Arabidopsis thaliana: one gene and its partner. The protein of the gene in region 2 interacts with the protein of the main gene of each other region in a pairwise test. Each region holds a gene or a part of one and is shown on either strand. Other genes may lie near its edges.

Evidence for each region.
Region 1: the proteins of CYCD6;1 (region 2) and ICK3 interact in a protein complementation assay, tested with the Arabidopsis thaliana proteins (one large-scale study listed by BioGRID).

Annotation. Positions count from the first base shown.
Region 1 is NC_003074.8:9,056,777-9,063,675, reverse strand, and holds ICK3 (Cyclin-dependent kinase inhibitor family protein), read right to left. Parts: upstream 2,841-6,899; 5' UTR 2,687-2,840; coding exon 2,280-2,686; intron 2,181-2,279; coding exon 2,088-2,180; intron 2,004-2,087; coding exon 1,934-2,003; 3' UTR 1,673-1,933; downstream 1-1,672. Other genes in the region: AT3G24820 (BSD domain-containing protein), read left to right, coding at 497-594, 818-959; PRT1 (proteolysis 1), read right to left, coding at 5,881-6,168, 6,256-6,374, 6,528-6,725, 6,808-6,899. UniProt on the Arabidopsis thaliana protein: Inhibits CYCD2-1/CDKA-1 complex kinase activity without interaction with the complex.
Region 2 is NC_003075.7:1,429,309-1,438,007, forward strand, and holds CYCD6;1 (Cyclin D6;1), read right to left. Parts: upstream 4,554-8,699; 5' UTR 4,384-4,553; coding exon 4,183-4,383; intron 4,085-4,182; coding exon 4,001-4,084; intron 3,928-4,000; coding exon 3,832-3,927; intron 3,751-3,831; coding exon 3,543-3,750; intron 3,473-3,542; coding exon 3,342-3,472; exon of another isoform or gene 3,256-3,341; coding exon 3,067-3,255; 3' UTR 2,536-3,066; downstream 1-2,535. Other genes in the region: AT4G03260 (Outer arm dynein light chain 1 protein), read left to right, coding at 1-1,194, 1,283-1,429, 1,531-2,123.

The DNA of each region.
Region 1 (6,899 bases), on a different chromosome or scaffold from region 2:
TTTCAAATGATCAATGATTGGATTTTGGAGCTAACGGTGCTATTTAAATTAGATTCAAATAAGAGTTGATGATTCTTATAGCGCCTATAGAAAGTTGCTGTCTTCTTGATTTGCTTGTAGCTTTGGGTTTGGTCAATTAGGAGCAATGGATCGAATCTTATAGGGAAATTTGAAAGTTACTCTTTAGGACTAAGCAAGATTTCTAAATGGATGGAACTGGTAGTGGTAGAGCTCTTGGTCCACTGGTATCACTTGAATCAGAATCGGATCAGAGTTTATGTGCCGAATCTTATAGTTCATTTGATGCTACTATCTTCCTGAATTGCTTGTAATCTGGTTAGGCTCATGTTAGTGAAAATGGTAAACATGCTCGTGTTTGCAGTTCAAGATGATTTTGTTACACAGTTGGTAAAATTGAATTTGGTTGATAGGACCATTGGGTTTAAACGAATCTATTTTCAAAGCTGCTCTAAACAAGATTGATTTCGTGTTACAGGAACTCTCACAGTTGAGATTCAAGTTATGCCCGCGAGTTTTAAAGGAACATCAGTTTTGGAGGATATATTTCCAGCTTGTGAGGAAGATTGTGGCAAAGTAAGTACTTTCTTATGCCAAAAAATTTCGTTTGAGATGGTTCCATAACTCCAGGTGTAATGCCCTTAGTAGGTGTTAAATGCACCTTACTCTGTTGTTCTGTGTATGATTCCACTTTCATATAGAGATAGTGAGATGGGTTTTTAGCTTGTAACAAAGTGATGAATAAAGATCACGAGAAATATGAGTTTAACCATTGGTAGTTCATGGAAATTATTTGCAGATATGAGGTGCTAGCAATCCAACAGGCTCAAATCAGGAGGATGGCCATGGAAGACAGTAAAACTTCTGAAAGCAAGGGTGTATATGAAGTTGAAATGTCAGAAACAAAGCAAAGGTTGAGTACAGGACCTGCAACTCCGTGAAGCTTCGGTGGTAGAGTTGGGATGGAACATGACAGGTACTGTAATATTACAGACTACGTATTTACTTAATACAACTATTATCAACGAGAATGAAATCACTCTAAGCATCCTATGACTTGCTTTTGCAGTTTTGCTCACAAATTAACCAAACAAAAACGCTGAACCATCGGAGAAGCAGGGCTTGATCAGTAAATATTGTTCATGTGTTAAAAGGTGACAAAACCAAGAAGGTTTTGATTCTTCAGAGATGTAAATGATCATGTGAATTTAGTACTAGTATCAGACATAACACAGTGGTCTTAAACGCTTTGTACTAATAAGAATAGACATCATTATTTAATGTTTTGATTCATCCGATGAGCAAATGATCTAAAGAGGTGAAATATTTTACAGAAACCAAGAAACCTAATCTTTAGCATGAAAGGTGCTACTAACTTAGACTTTTGAAGAAATAATTCCAGAAAGCAAGACAGTGAGTGCAGTGCCAATAAAGAAGAGAGAGATGAAATCTAATCGAAGCATTTTACTGCAACCTGTATGACAGAGGAATTGGTACAAGTACCCACATGTGTGAAAAGCCCAATGAGATTAGAGTATCAAACTATCAATAAAGAAGATAGAGATAAAACCTGTGACTAAGGTTTTTGTTCAGACAAGTTCACTACTTTTGCTACTTGAATCCAAAGTATATGACTTGTAAAGTAACTCTAATGCAGAACCACAAAACTCAGACCTTCACTGAAGTAACCAAAGAACAATGAAGAGATTTACAATACTAATTTAAGTAACTTGACAGTTAAATTAGACATTTATTTGTAGCAAATGAGAGAGATTAACATTACATTATTCTTGACTAACAAGTTATACACCAACCCTAAAACCCCACAAAGTTAGTCTGTGTGCAATTTTCATCTCCTCTGTTCCAACACAGATGTTTCCTAAAGCACACAACTTTACATCGAACACAACTCATTTCATGGCATCACTTTGACCCATTCGTAACGTCCAGGCAATGGATTGTCCGAGACAATGTCAAAGTTGTACCTGCAAAACCATAACTCCCCCAAAGTCAGACCAAACTCTAAAAACTCAAGAGAATCAAGACACTAAAGAAAATGGGATTTGTACTTTTGAATGAAGAATCTCTGTTGTTGCTGTTCTGCGCTAGCAAAGAAGTCTTCAATCTCACTTTGTATTGATTTTGAATCACTTATCATGCTCCTATGAGAGAACCAACATATCAAAACTCAATCTCTGTATTGTAGTAAAAAAAAAAAGTTTGGAGCTTTAAAATGAAAAAAAAAACAGAGTTAAAGTTACCTGTTTTCTGATTCCAAATCAAAACCTTTATCTCCAAAATTACAATCAGACCTAGATATTCTCTCATTATCACCACAAGCTTCTTCCGTCGTCGTATCCGGCTCTAATTTCTTCGCCGGACCGGAACTAGCCCTAGGGTTTTTCGTTTGACATTGATTGACACTAGGAATGAGCTGTTGCTTCTGCTGTTTTCTGGTATTAGTGAGTAATGGAAGCTTCACGAGACGGCGGCTCCGGAGCTGGAGGTAGTTAAAGGAGTCTGCTTCGTCGGAATGAGAACGGAGACGGTGGAGGGCGAGGTTTTTAGCGGCGGCGGCTCTGGTACGGAAACCTAGAGCGGGTGGGTGAGATTTATCCTTAACGGAAACGGCACCGGCGACTTTTGACTTCTTAATGTATTTTCCCATCTCCGGGAAGGTGGTTTACTGAATCTCCGGTCGAGAGCGAAAGGAGGGAAGCAACGAAGGAGGAGGAAAAAAGTGATTTTTAATCTGAAAAAGTGAAAACTAAAAGGACAATGGAAATATTTATTTTAAAATCGAATCAAAAAACAAATTAGACAAATTTTTAAGGTGTCAAAGGCCCTCTCACCTGATTGTCATCATTTTCTTCGAAAAAAGATAAATCAAAATTTAATTAATTGGAATTTAATTTAATTTTTGTATTCTATCTGATTAAAACTTAAAAGTCTACTTTACAAAAGTAAATTATGAACAATATATGAGATATTTAAAGTATTAATTTGAGTTTGCTTGAGAAAAATATAGTTTAATACGCAAATTTTTAAAAAATATTCATTTAATACGTAAACTTTGAATATAATCATTTAATATATAGAAAAAAGTTATTTTACACTAAGTTAATGTTATCTAATTTTTTTACGTTGGTATAAATTTTGGCTGATAAACAATTAAGTTTGTGTAAAATAACCGGTCAATAATTTTTACATATATTAAATGTTTATATATAAAATTTACGTATTAAATAACAACTTTTTGATAATTCATGTAGTAAACGACATATTTCCGACTCTATATTTCACTTATATTATATAATTAATTCTTAGTTACTCCAAAATAACATAAAATAATAGTTCTCAAATGAAGAACATTTTTGGAAATATATATTCCAATTATTCTATACACTATATATATAGTATTTAAAGTTTATGAGTGGTTGGTGCAACAAATAATAAAAGGCTGCCGAAAGTAACAAGGTCTTTGAGAATAAAGATCATCAAGCTTATATTAATTGCTTTGGTAGACCATCCATGATTATAAAGCAATTGATATCGTGTGGAAATTTTTAGTTATTTTTGTTAAATAATGCAAAGATCGTTGTATGTGTCAAATTTGTTTTGGTTTAAGATAATAAGGCAGTTCATTTTTTGCATCCATTTTCATTGTTTCATAAAATTTGGTAGACAAGTCAACGTTAACTTTGTACAAACAATCCAAAACAAAAGCTAGCATTCAGATTTTCAAATGTCATGCAGGTTATTGGTTCAAAAGAAAAAAAGAGTCAACCATCTATTAAATTCTTCACATTTGACAAAAACGTACACATTAATTGTATACAGATACATTTGACTGTAAATTTTTTTTTTTTAAGTAAACAAGTGTCTTAAAATTAACATCATAGGGTTGATCACTTACCTAAGTATTTATTTTCTTTGGATTTATTAGCATTGGACATTTATATTGGTTGCTTCTAGTTTTATAGTTATGTAATCATCTCAACAACCGTTCTCTTTGTGATGTAATAGTTGAGATTATCTTTCATAAATTAGGCTTCAAAAGTTGACTTGTTGGTAAATTTGTCGAACAAATAAAGTTGGTCTGACTACATGCTTATACTCACGTCTAAATAGAAAAATTAATTTTCCTTTACATAAAATTTAGTTTATACTTTATAGTATCTGAAATGTAAATATATGACTCAATTTGGTTTTCTACATTTCTTTTGTGTAGCAAACACAGTCTTATTCTTTTTTGTTTCTTTGAAACAAGAATCGTGATGCGGCGACTAATTAATCTACTGTTACGTGATATACATTTATACATTAAATCAGACTTATATTTATTTATTTTTGTTAAAAGGCCTTCTTATATTAATATATATGTAACCCGTGAAACAACAACAAGGTGAGTACTGAGTAGAGGCTCCCAATGTCAATGCCCCGGTGCTTATTATTCTTAATCGAGAGGTTTATTATTATTGAAGAAGATGAATTACATTAAAAATCTCTAAATTTAAAGCTTGCGATAATTCATAATTCTCATGATTTTATCGAAGATGTCAAAGGGACATTCTCATGAATCATGATTTTATATGCTTCAAATCGTATGCATGACCAACACTGTGTACAATCTTTAGATATTTCTTTGTTCATCAGTTCATCCAAACACGAAAGATCACACTACTAGCCCATAATACTTTAAACCTGAACAAAACTTTATAACCGGTTTAAATATGGTAAAAACTATTTTCACCGTACAAAGAAGGAAGGCACACGTGCGATGACTCTCAGCAATCATGCAACAGCTCAGATCTCGAACGCTACCGAATCCCCAAAAATCAGAGATAAAGGCAAAAAAAACAAAAAACAAATAAAGGATCTGCAATAACACTCTTCACGTCCTCCCGCCCTTTTTTTCAGGGCGCCAAAAAAAAAAAAAAAACTGTTATCACAACACGCTCGTACTGAAAAAACTTTTTCCTTTATTTTCTTTTTAATACAATAATAAAGTGTTTTAAAAAAGACAGAACCCGAGAAACGATTTCCGACGTAAGAGCAGTCATGGGTTCCACACTCCGACCAATCACATCGTAGCTGCCTCACACGCACTCAGAGGAGCGAATCTTTCACCTTGATGGGGTCCCTTGAATCCAGTTACTATCTATTAGCAATCCTTCAAGTTCAAGCCAATATGTATATTGAAAAGCTTTCACATGCCTCAATTGTTTCAAAAGTTCACTCTTTTTTACATTTACATGACTAAACTTATTCTTTTTCAGATAAATACCGGATAATAACTGAAAGAATCGAATAAGTGTAATTTAAGATATTACAATTATTATTATAACTGTACTTTTTAAAAAAAAAATGAATGATACGGATAACGGATTCAGTATGAATATTGAATAATATGGGTATTTAAATGATCTAAGAATTTAATTTATACATAATTTTATATATTCTTAAAAAAGATTTTAATCATCTTTTTTTTGTGCAAAAAAAAGTTTTAATCATTCAAACAAATAATTTGGCTAGTTAACCTTTTAGTAACTATTGTATTCAATTATCTTGTCTCAAATGGATAATTTCTTCTATCTTTTTTTTTGTTAAATGGATTCTTTACACTAACAATAATAGTTGTGTACTAATGAGAGGAATTAAAATAAATCACACTTTAAAGGTAATATAAACAAAAGAGGTGACTTAACAACCACAAATGCAAACAAACTTTGTTAAGAAATAAACTTTGTTTAAAATGTTAAAACCATAGACTTCTCAGGAGAAAATATATTATGAAGTATAAATACAATAACAAACGCAAACACAAAGCGAAAGCATATGCATTAATACTTGACTGCTATTTCATTCTGTGCTTGATGACTCATTAGAAGAACCAGGAGGCCCTTCCTCGCCTTCATCTGTATCCATGCCTTCATTTGAGATAACGGGTCCGAGAAGGATACCGATAGAATTGAAATTGATCAGAACCTGAGGAGACCGTGCAAGCTCAAGCCTGTGGTCAGGAGTGTGTTGCTGGTTGAATCTCCCTGGAACTTTCGAAGGAGTCTCGTAACAGTCTTTGCAAAGGTCATACCCAATTTCCTCCTTGCAGTCTTTGCATCTGTATCGATCCCCTATGATTGGATACACCTGTAGCAAACCGCACCAGTGTCAAATTACGATTCACATATTTTGGTTTCACAACTAACAATCGGGTTAAGGTAATAATGCACTTACCCCACAAGAATCACAACCAGCTCCAAAGTGAACATTTGATCCAGGGTTTGCCAACCAGGGATCATCATTGTTATTGTCGTTTGATAAGGACGGGCCTTCTTTGAGATAGCTTTGAATATCTAAACATCAAGATAAAACGATTACAAACTGTGAGTCTCTGTGTATAGGTCTCACATATTTTGTGTAACAACAAGAACTAAGCTTTGAGAGCACAAGGACATGATACATGTCGATAACTACAAAATGGTTCAAGGCATGAATGTCGGACTTACTTCCTTTGCTATTATGGGCGAGCGTTTTCTGAACCTTACTGCTTCTTGAATTGTATTCTTCAGGAAAGTTTTCCTCCAAAAGCTGTTCAAGAATCAAACAAACTTTTGGAAATCCTCTTGGGTCACAAACATTACACTCTTGACATTTGATCTTTTCGCTTTCTTCAGCCATATCTACTACACATCCTTCACAATACACTGGAAAAGATAAAACAGGAAATTAGCACATAAAGCGAATACTCATGACATTTATCGAAATCAAACATGTAAGATTATATACCATGTCCGCAATTGAGAACTACGGGTCGTACAAGCAGCTCCTTACATGCTGAACAGAGCAAATCATCTTTCGAAATCTGCTTACTGACTTTG
Region 2 (8,699 bases):
AATCAAAAGGATTGAGCTCAATTATATTTGGGAGAAACATTGCTTCTGTTAGTGAAAACAGCAAGCCAGCCGCTGTTGAGCGTGTCTGGAAATCTGAGGAAATTAAGCCCAGTGGCATTCTTGAGCATGGTATTGGGACGCACCAGGTACTGCATCTCAAGAAAAGTCAATCTCATGGAAATGAACTATACTTGGATGGGCGGGATGCCACAGAGAATGGAACAGACGATGCATCAGATCGGATTACTTCTCCGAATTCTCTTGAACAACAGAGTGGTATTCACGAGGCAGGCAGCAGCAAGCGTGTAGATGAAAGTCCTAATCTGTATCAGCAAGGTCCTCGAGCTTCTGTTTCTGCTTACCAGGGTTCAAATCAAGCACTCTGTGGGTCTATTTTCTCGGTTGGAGATCTTCATCATACTGATAAAGACAGCCGTCAACTCGATGATACCTCCTTATATGGTGAACAGATGGACAACTCAAACAGTCAAACACCTCATGATTCACCTTTGATGGTGAGGTCGAATTCATTGCCTAATATTGCTGACTCTTCATCAGAGAAGTCTTCACCTTTCAAATATTCTTCTCACCACTCTAGATCCTCTGATGACCTTCATGCCCTCGACACTCGCCAAACAGATAAATCTGTCCATGAGACTGATGAAGAGGTGAAGCAAGAGGAAGATCAAGATCGGGACTATGATATGCATAATTCTGGAGATAACAACAAGGAAAATCTCGTGGAGGATGGATATGATGATTCATATGATTATTCTTCTTTGGCAAAAGATTGGATCGTACCACCAACAGATGAGCTTAAATTATCAAAGTTCCTTGAAGGAGAAACAACAAACCAGCAAGCAGAATTTTCGGGAAAGGATTCTAAATTCAAGCGTATCGAAGATTGGGTCAATGACCTTCAGCATGTAAACTTGTCTGAGGAAGCTGATGAAATAACAGGGTACGATGATGAGTTGCCAAGAGAACCCGTCGTGTTGAATGAGCAAGCAACATCTTCTGCTAAAGTAGATGCCATCAAGTTAACTCCTGGAATGGAAGCTGCGAAAAAGTATATATCCTCTCTAAGTGCTTCTGCAACCACAGCCCAGCTGGTTAGTCATGGTCTGGTTGTGATACCATTCCTCAGTGCATTTGTTGGTCTGAGAGTTCTCAATCTCTCAGGAAATGCTATAGGTAGCTAAATTTTCCCTTCTTGCTAATCTTCTTCACATACTGATTGTTTTTGTTTCTTCTATTTAACTGGCCTTATTACATCTTTCAGTTAGAATAACCGCTGGTGCTCTTCCTCGAGGTTTACATGCATTGAATTTGTCGAAGAACAGTATCTCGGTGATTGAGGGCCTACGTGAACTCACTCGGCTTCGAGTATTAGATTTGAGTTACAACCGAATACTGAGACTTGGTCATGGTATGGCCCGACCTTTGCTCATCGACATTTCCTAGTTATCTGCTTTTATATGAAAACCATGTTTGATGTATTTCCCTTTTTCTTATTTCTTGTTGACTTAGGTCTGGCTTCGTGCTCCTCTCTGAAAGAACTATACCTAGCTGGGAACAAAATCAGCGAAATCGAGGGTCTTCATCGACTTTTGAAATTGACGGTCCTGGATTTACGCTTCAATAAGTTTTCAACCACCAAATGTCTTGGCCAGCTCGCTGCAAATTACAGTTCTCTTCAGGCTATAAGCTTGGAAGGTAACCCTGCACAGAAGAATGTTGGTGATGAACAACTGAGAAAGTACCTTTTGGGACTTCTGCCAAATTTGGTATACTATAATAGACAAGGCACTAAAGATGCTCGGCTCGGGACAAGCACACATCAGTTGGACCGAGGCCTTAGATCAGAGCTCAAAAACAGTAGCCGGAAGAGTAGCCATGGTGCATCCAGTTCTCACAAACCTGGATCCTCCACAGCTCGTAAAGCACCAGCATTGCAGAAACGGTCCAAGGAGAGACGCAGCCGTCTTCCACCTGTGGGACACAAACTATCTCCAGCTGCTTACGAGAATTATCACGTTGCTACTGGTGATAGATTGTCTAGTCTGAGAACTGAGCTCTCCATGCGAAGAAGTCGAAGTGAAGGAACTCTCGGACCTATCTGATCTCTCTCTCTCCCTCTTTCATTGCCTGCGATTTCCTTAGCGAGGTAACGATGAAGATGTGATAGATACACACTTTCTTCCCTTTATTCATCTTCTTCATCTTTGTGTTTTGTTGTTGTGCATTACATACATCAGAAGCTTTGATTCTTATAGCTTCTCAATAATGTCTGAAATTGGAAACCATGGTATACATTCTTTTCAGCACAGTCTGAGTCTTGCAATTGTTTTCATTAAGTAATGGGCTTGAATGGATCTTGTATATCACAATCTTGGGCCGTTATGATGCTAGTGGGCCTAATATGGGTTAGTGCAAGGGATTCATTTACAGTAAGAACAAAAGCAATTGAATGATTTAAAGACTGTGTAAAGTGGTCCAAAGAGTATCATATTGCCTGCCTGCAACAGAGATTCTGGCAACTGGATCCATATAAGTCGGATAACGAAGTCTCATAAGACAAAATCTTATTCCTGAAAATTGAATTCATTGTTATCTCGTGACCACATTTGTTCATTAATAAATAACATAACCATAGGGTTATATACACTACACAAGAACAATATTTATTGATTATTCCCCCCAAGTGAAACAACTTAACTCCACAAGCCAAAACTGTAAATACAGAACATGATTGATAGGTAGATAGATAGATAAATACTACAGACTGGTAATTTGTTTTTCTTTTGAATTTTTTGAGTTTTGTGTTGTGGTCCAAAGGAACAAGCAACGGAACAGAACCCGAGACTTTGTCTTTGATCATTCATCACTCTCTTGTCTTCCAGGAAGAGAGAAATGGTTTATTTTTGAAGCAGAAGAAGATGGATGGAGATAAGGGGAAAGGAAGCAAGTGTCATTTTCATAAGGGGACCAGAAGTGGTTTTTGAAGTAGCTAAGTGATTGATTTCATCTGACGATTATGTTTGACCATTAACCACCTTTTTCAGCTTAGTAACGACGAGTACTAGTTTTCCTCCTCTTAGGTGAAGAAGAAGCTGTGATTGTGATGCTCTTATCGCTTTCACAACTCGAGAATTGCTGATCAAGCACATTTACTGCTGTTTCAGTGCTTCCTTCGTTTTCTCCAACTATAATATCTCTCTCTTGTATTGCTTTGTAACACTCCATTAACTCATCCTGCAACCACGGTTTAATGCTCGCTTAGTACCGCGATGAAAAAAAAGCTCGATTTGAGATGGTTTACTTGTTCAAGACTTCTTTACCTTATTTACATATGTGCATTGGTTGATTCTGTTACTGAAACATGGAAACTGTAGAGGACAGAGCTCGAAAGAAGCAAAGAGAAGTGCCGCGCCTGCAATCACCGATGGTTTAAACTCGAGGAAACTGATATCTGCAGCGTTTTCAAACAGATTTTAGCATATTGTGATTATGTGATTGAAGAAAAGCAATTCTGTATTTACCATGTTGAAGACTGAAAGTAAGATCACTGGTTTGAGATTTGAGGGAATGTTTTAGTAGTAAAGGATCTTCTTCTTTGAGCTCAAAGAGACTAATGAAAAAGGCCAAAAAGGAGAAAGGAGTAACAGAGCGCATCCTCCATTTAAGAGCTCCTAGAATCACATTCTCCATTCTCTCTATCATCTGAGCATCAAAAAACTCACCTTCCACCTGAAAAAAATCCAATGTTCAGACACTTATCAACACTTTAAAACACATTCACATTATAAAGATTCATGAGTTTTAAGTTACCGGAAGATCAGAAACAGACATGTCTGGTTTCCTCATTTTTGCAGACAAAGAGACACAAGAGAGAGATATGAGCTTAAGAATCCAGGGCTTTGACTGCTGTTGACAAAACAATTTAGTCAAAACTCAGATGAAACAAAGGACAGATTCTGTCGGAAGATTCTGTTTTTACCGGCATATCTTCGCTAGACAAGAACCTGTCTAGATAATTCACAGCAAGATACGTCAGAGATGGGTCGTCGAATTTTCTTGAATACTGCGATTGTTCAGTTACAAATTAAAATAAAGTTAAGTCTTTCGATAACGATTCAGTATTCAGAACTAAACCCAGAAAATAATTTTGGTTAAAAAGACCTGAGTGATTGAAGAAATGGCTTGGTTTCGATTAGAGAGAAGAAAAGCAGAGGACTTGAGGCTATGGAAGTAATGAGAAGAAGGCATGTGTTGAAACTCGACGAGGAAGAGAGAGTGTGGTAAAGTTTCATAGTCTGTGTCGTCGTTGAAGTTATTGTGGAGTGAAGAATGTGAGAGAGGATGTTCAAGATGAAACTCCATTGATTGATGATAGACTCTTCTTAAGCTTCCTTCTTTCTTGAATTGGTGTTAGAAGATGAAGAAGAAGAGAGAGGGACAGAGAGACATTAAAAGAGAGAAGTTGTCTTTATTGTGAGATAGAGAGAGATGGTTTTCGGTCTTTTGAGAGATTTTCCACATTTATTTATTACTACCACTTTGGTTATTTTTTTATTCGATTTTTTCTCATTGATAGTAAGAATTAAGATTTTATCAAAGATAATCAAATCTTTTTCAAGAGATTCTTCTTTTGCAATATTAGAAGGAAAAAAAATCCAATATTCTCTCTTAAATTCTCTATAATCCTCTGTTTTTAATTAAGTGTAGTTCAATAATTTTTTATTTTTTTCAATATAAATGTTGTTTTCACTTTTCTATGCAAACATTAAATGTATTTAATAGTTTTTAACCAATTATATTTTGCATCATATTTTTTTATTGGTTGGATTAGTTGTAATTAATGGTGTTTTTATAAGAAATAGATAAATTAAATGAGATTTGTATGTTTTCTTAATTTGTATGCAAAAACCTTAAACTACAAATATTCATAAACAGAGCCGTTTGTATTAAAAATTTATAACCGTAAATTATTACTTAGTTGTTTAAAAAATATGTAATACACTAATACGTGTAATGTTTTTATTAGATTTTATTACAAATTAAGTCAATAATTCAATAAATAAATAAAATTGCATTTTAGTATTAATATCAAGTACCAAACAATTAAAAAATCATATTGAAAAAAAAACCAGCATAATATATATAGATATTACATTTTGTTTGAGTTTTAGATCATGTAAATTTAGTATCATGCTAAAAAAAAGTTCTTCTATGAATTTTGTGTGTGTTAAAGTTCTTTCATGAATTTGGTAAGACCCAACTTTAAAATATACTAAGGCTGGGGAGATTAAATATGATAATAACATATACTATCGTTAAACCATTTTATTTACCACATAAAGTTGTCATTTACTCATAAATAGAGCTGATGTAATGTACAGTTTTATGTATCAAAAGATTCGTCACTTTGGAATCTCGTCCAAACAGTTACAAACATTGATTAACTTTAGAAATCTTTTTAAGTCTTTGTTTTGTTTTTAATCATCATTGTATCACACATTTTAAATTACTAATTAGGTTGTGACAGCTTGGTTTTCCTTGTCCTTAAGTCTTTGTACTTACCTTTTGTTAGGTTTTGAAATTCCCAACATATATATTCAGATTATTTTTTTTAAGTCAATAAAGAAAAATTGAGAAGTCAATGAACAAACTGCCATGTGAAAACGCCATTTGAACAAACTTTTTGTTTTTATTTTTTTACTTTGATCTTTTACTGCCAAAGCCTGACTGGTCTATTTTTAGACGGAAAAGAAAACATTAATTTTATGTAGAAAATGTGAAATGCAAAGGCCTTTGAAACTCTAGATATGAACGAAATGAAAGAAAACATTGACTGACCTAACAAACATAAGAATTTATATGCTTGTAACGTAAGAAAAAACAGCTTATTAGTTTTTGGGGGTATTAGTATTTGTCCAAAAAAAATGTTTTGGGAGTATTAGCTAATAAACAACAGAAAAGTGTTGATAATAATATAGTTTCTTGTTTTTTAAACAATATAATAGTAATATGTTTCATAGAGAAAGAGTGACAATTTTTTGTTTCTTTTTAACAAATGCCAGATTTTGAACCACTTTAAAGAATAAAAAAATATTAGATATTTATTGCAAAAGAAGTAATTGAATCAAAAAACTTTTAAATAGTGGAAATATATACCCTAAATTGGAAATAAAAACCCCAAATATAATACTACAAACTAATTTTAAAATGAAAAATCTCTTTTAAATGGTGAAAATATATACCCTAAATTGGAAATAGGAAACCCAAATATAATACCATAAACTAATATTAAAAGGAATCAAAATTTTTTTTAAATAGTTAAAATATATACCCTAAATTGGAAATAGAGAACCCAAATATAATATTTTAAATTTATTTCTAACTTATTTTGGTTGAATAGATTTTATATAAAATTGTGGTATTATTATTGTCCATAAAATTGTGGTATTATTATTTGAGTGCTATTTATGTCTAAAAAACCTTTTAATGCTATTTTTATCCAAAAAACTTAAAAGTGTGCTATTTGTAGGAATTTCTCATTATAAAATGGGTACTAGTGAAGATTGAACAAATATATCACCTAAATTCTCAAACCAACCTACTTTGTTTGAACTTTAAAATGATACTTCTTTTGCTCTGTTTTTATTTTCTTACTTTCTTCCATAGATACATTACTACTTTGGCTTTAAATGGATACTAAAAAAGCGACTAAACTATAAGCGAATTACTCTATTAAATTTTTGAAAGCAGACAACAATTTACTGCAAACTAATTTTGTTTTAATGTAAAAGCAATATGAAGTAGATCCGTATCAACTTAATTTCGTATTTTTTGATACGCACTTCTAATGACTATAATTTATGAATGATAACAAACGGATTTGTCTGCTCTACCCGCTCCAACAGTCAAACCATTTGTATGTTATTTTCTTACTTCATTGTTTCATATATAGGTGATTGTCTATTTTGTTATACTAATGGTTCGATAAGATTAGGCTACCAACAAAAAAAACAATTAACAATATAACAGCGAAATATAATTTTAGCTAGTTCCCTGCTAAAATGTACTTTGTTTCTGCACTTGCAGAGTGTGTGGAATAGAGTGAGATATACACGACCAAATAATGAAATTACGTTACAAATGTTCAATTGCATGACTGCGTAATGTATTTTATCCAATTATTATATGTGATGCTAATTATACTACATTTCAAGTAAGACGTGTCAATAATAAGTTGATTATCATTGGAAACCTTTATATAGATTAAAGATATTTGCATTGACCGGTCATCTTATAGCCACAAGGATTCATCATGATCAACGCATATAATAATACAAGAAGAATTTGAATTAACAAAACCTTAATGATATATGTATGTTGCTCGATTCTAATCACTCTATATATAATTACCAAATGTATAAGGAAGACAGGTCATTTGTTTATTGTTACTATATGGAAAAATGAATCCGATGAGTTTCGTAATTTCCCGTGGAATCCAAAGCTTCGACATATGCAAATAGTAAAAGTTAAATGTTGATAACGGAGATTGCAAGTAATTGATAATTAAATGTAAATATTTGACTAATGGAGAGGGAGTTGCTAAATTCAAGATTGTTAGTTTACCTTCTGTCGTTAACAACTTTGATTATATCAATTATACACATAAATCTCGTATGACTCAAGTGTGTATATAAACTATATATAAAGCATGGGAGGTGCTTTTTTCTTTATATTACCAATTTGATAATATGAAAAAACAAAAGATAAAAAGGGATCAGGAGCAGACGAATATTAGAAGAAGCAAGCCTCAGTGACTTTATGAGCTCACTTCTTTGCCTTGGGGTGCCTTGCTTCACCATTGCGCCATCTTTTTATATTTGATTATGGTATTGACGTATTGTTTGTACGTACTATTAGTTACTCATCATTATATATGTGTTATAATATCCTAGGTCAAATATATTTGCAAATACACTAATTCATTATAAATTCCAATGGATTAATTATAATCGGGATTTTATAAACACCTTGACGTGATCCAACATATGTCTATTCTCTCTCTTGCTGCATTAAGATTATTGAAACACATGCGGACCAAATTAAAAGTATTATAGAATAAATACTATGAATACAAGGCATATATACTAATCAAACATGCAGAACCATGATAGTGTAGCAGAAATAAGACTTTAATGCAGTATTTACTTATCGAAATTATATGGACCATAAAAAGTGTCAATGTGTGAATAAAATCCAGTTAAGACTCTAAAATCTAAATTATGATTTTAAATAACGAATTTTCAAGGTTTTGAATATGATGCATTAATTGTTGCAAAAAGAGGACAAGAAAGATAGGATGCATTGGATGGAGGGAAAGCCTGAAAGCACTCCGCAATTAAATTTATTTTCATTTCTTTAAAGTTTTAGTTATGTTTTTTTTTTTTTTTTTTTATCTTTATAAACATTACTGTATCCTTCTTTCGTAAAAAAAATCTATTTAAAAAAGAACATTCGCATGTTATGCTTTTTAGCCATTACCAAAATAGAGCCGACCAGAAAAGTATTATAAGTTTATAACACAATATACAGAGTATTTATAAATCATTTTCGTTGGTATAAAATGTATTTTCAACAATTTTGCTTTACAAATTGATATTCTGCTTGTTTGTTTTATATCA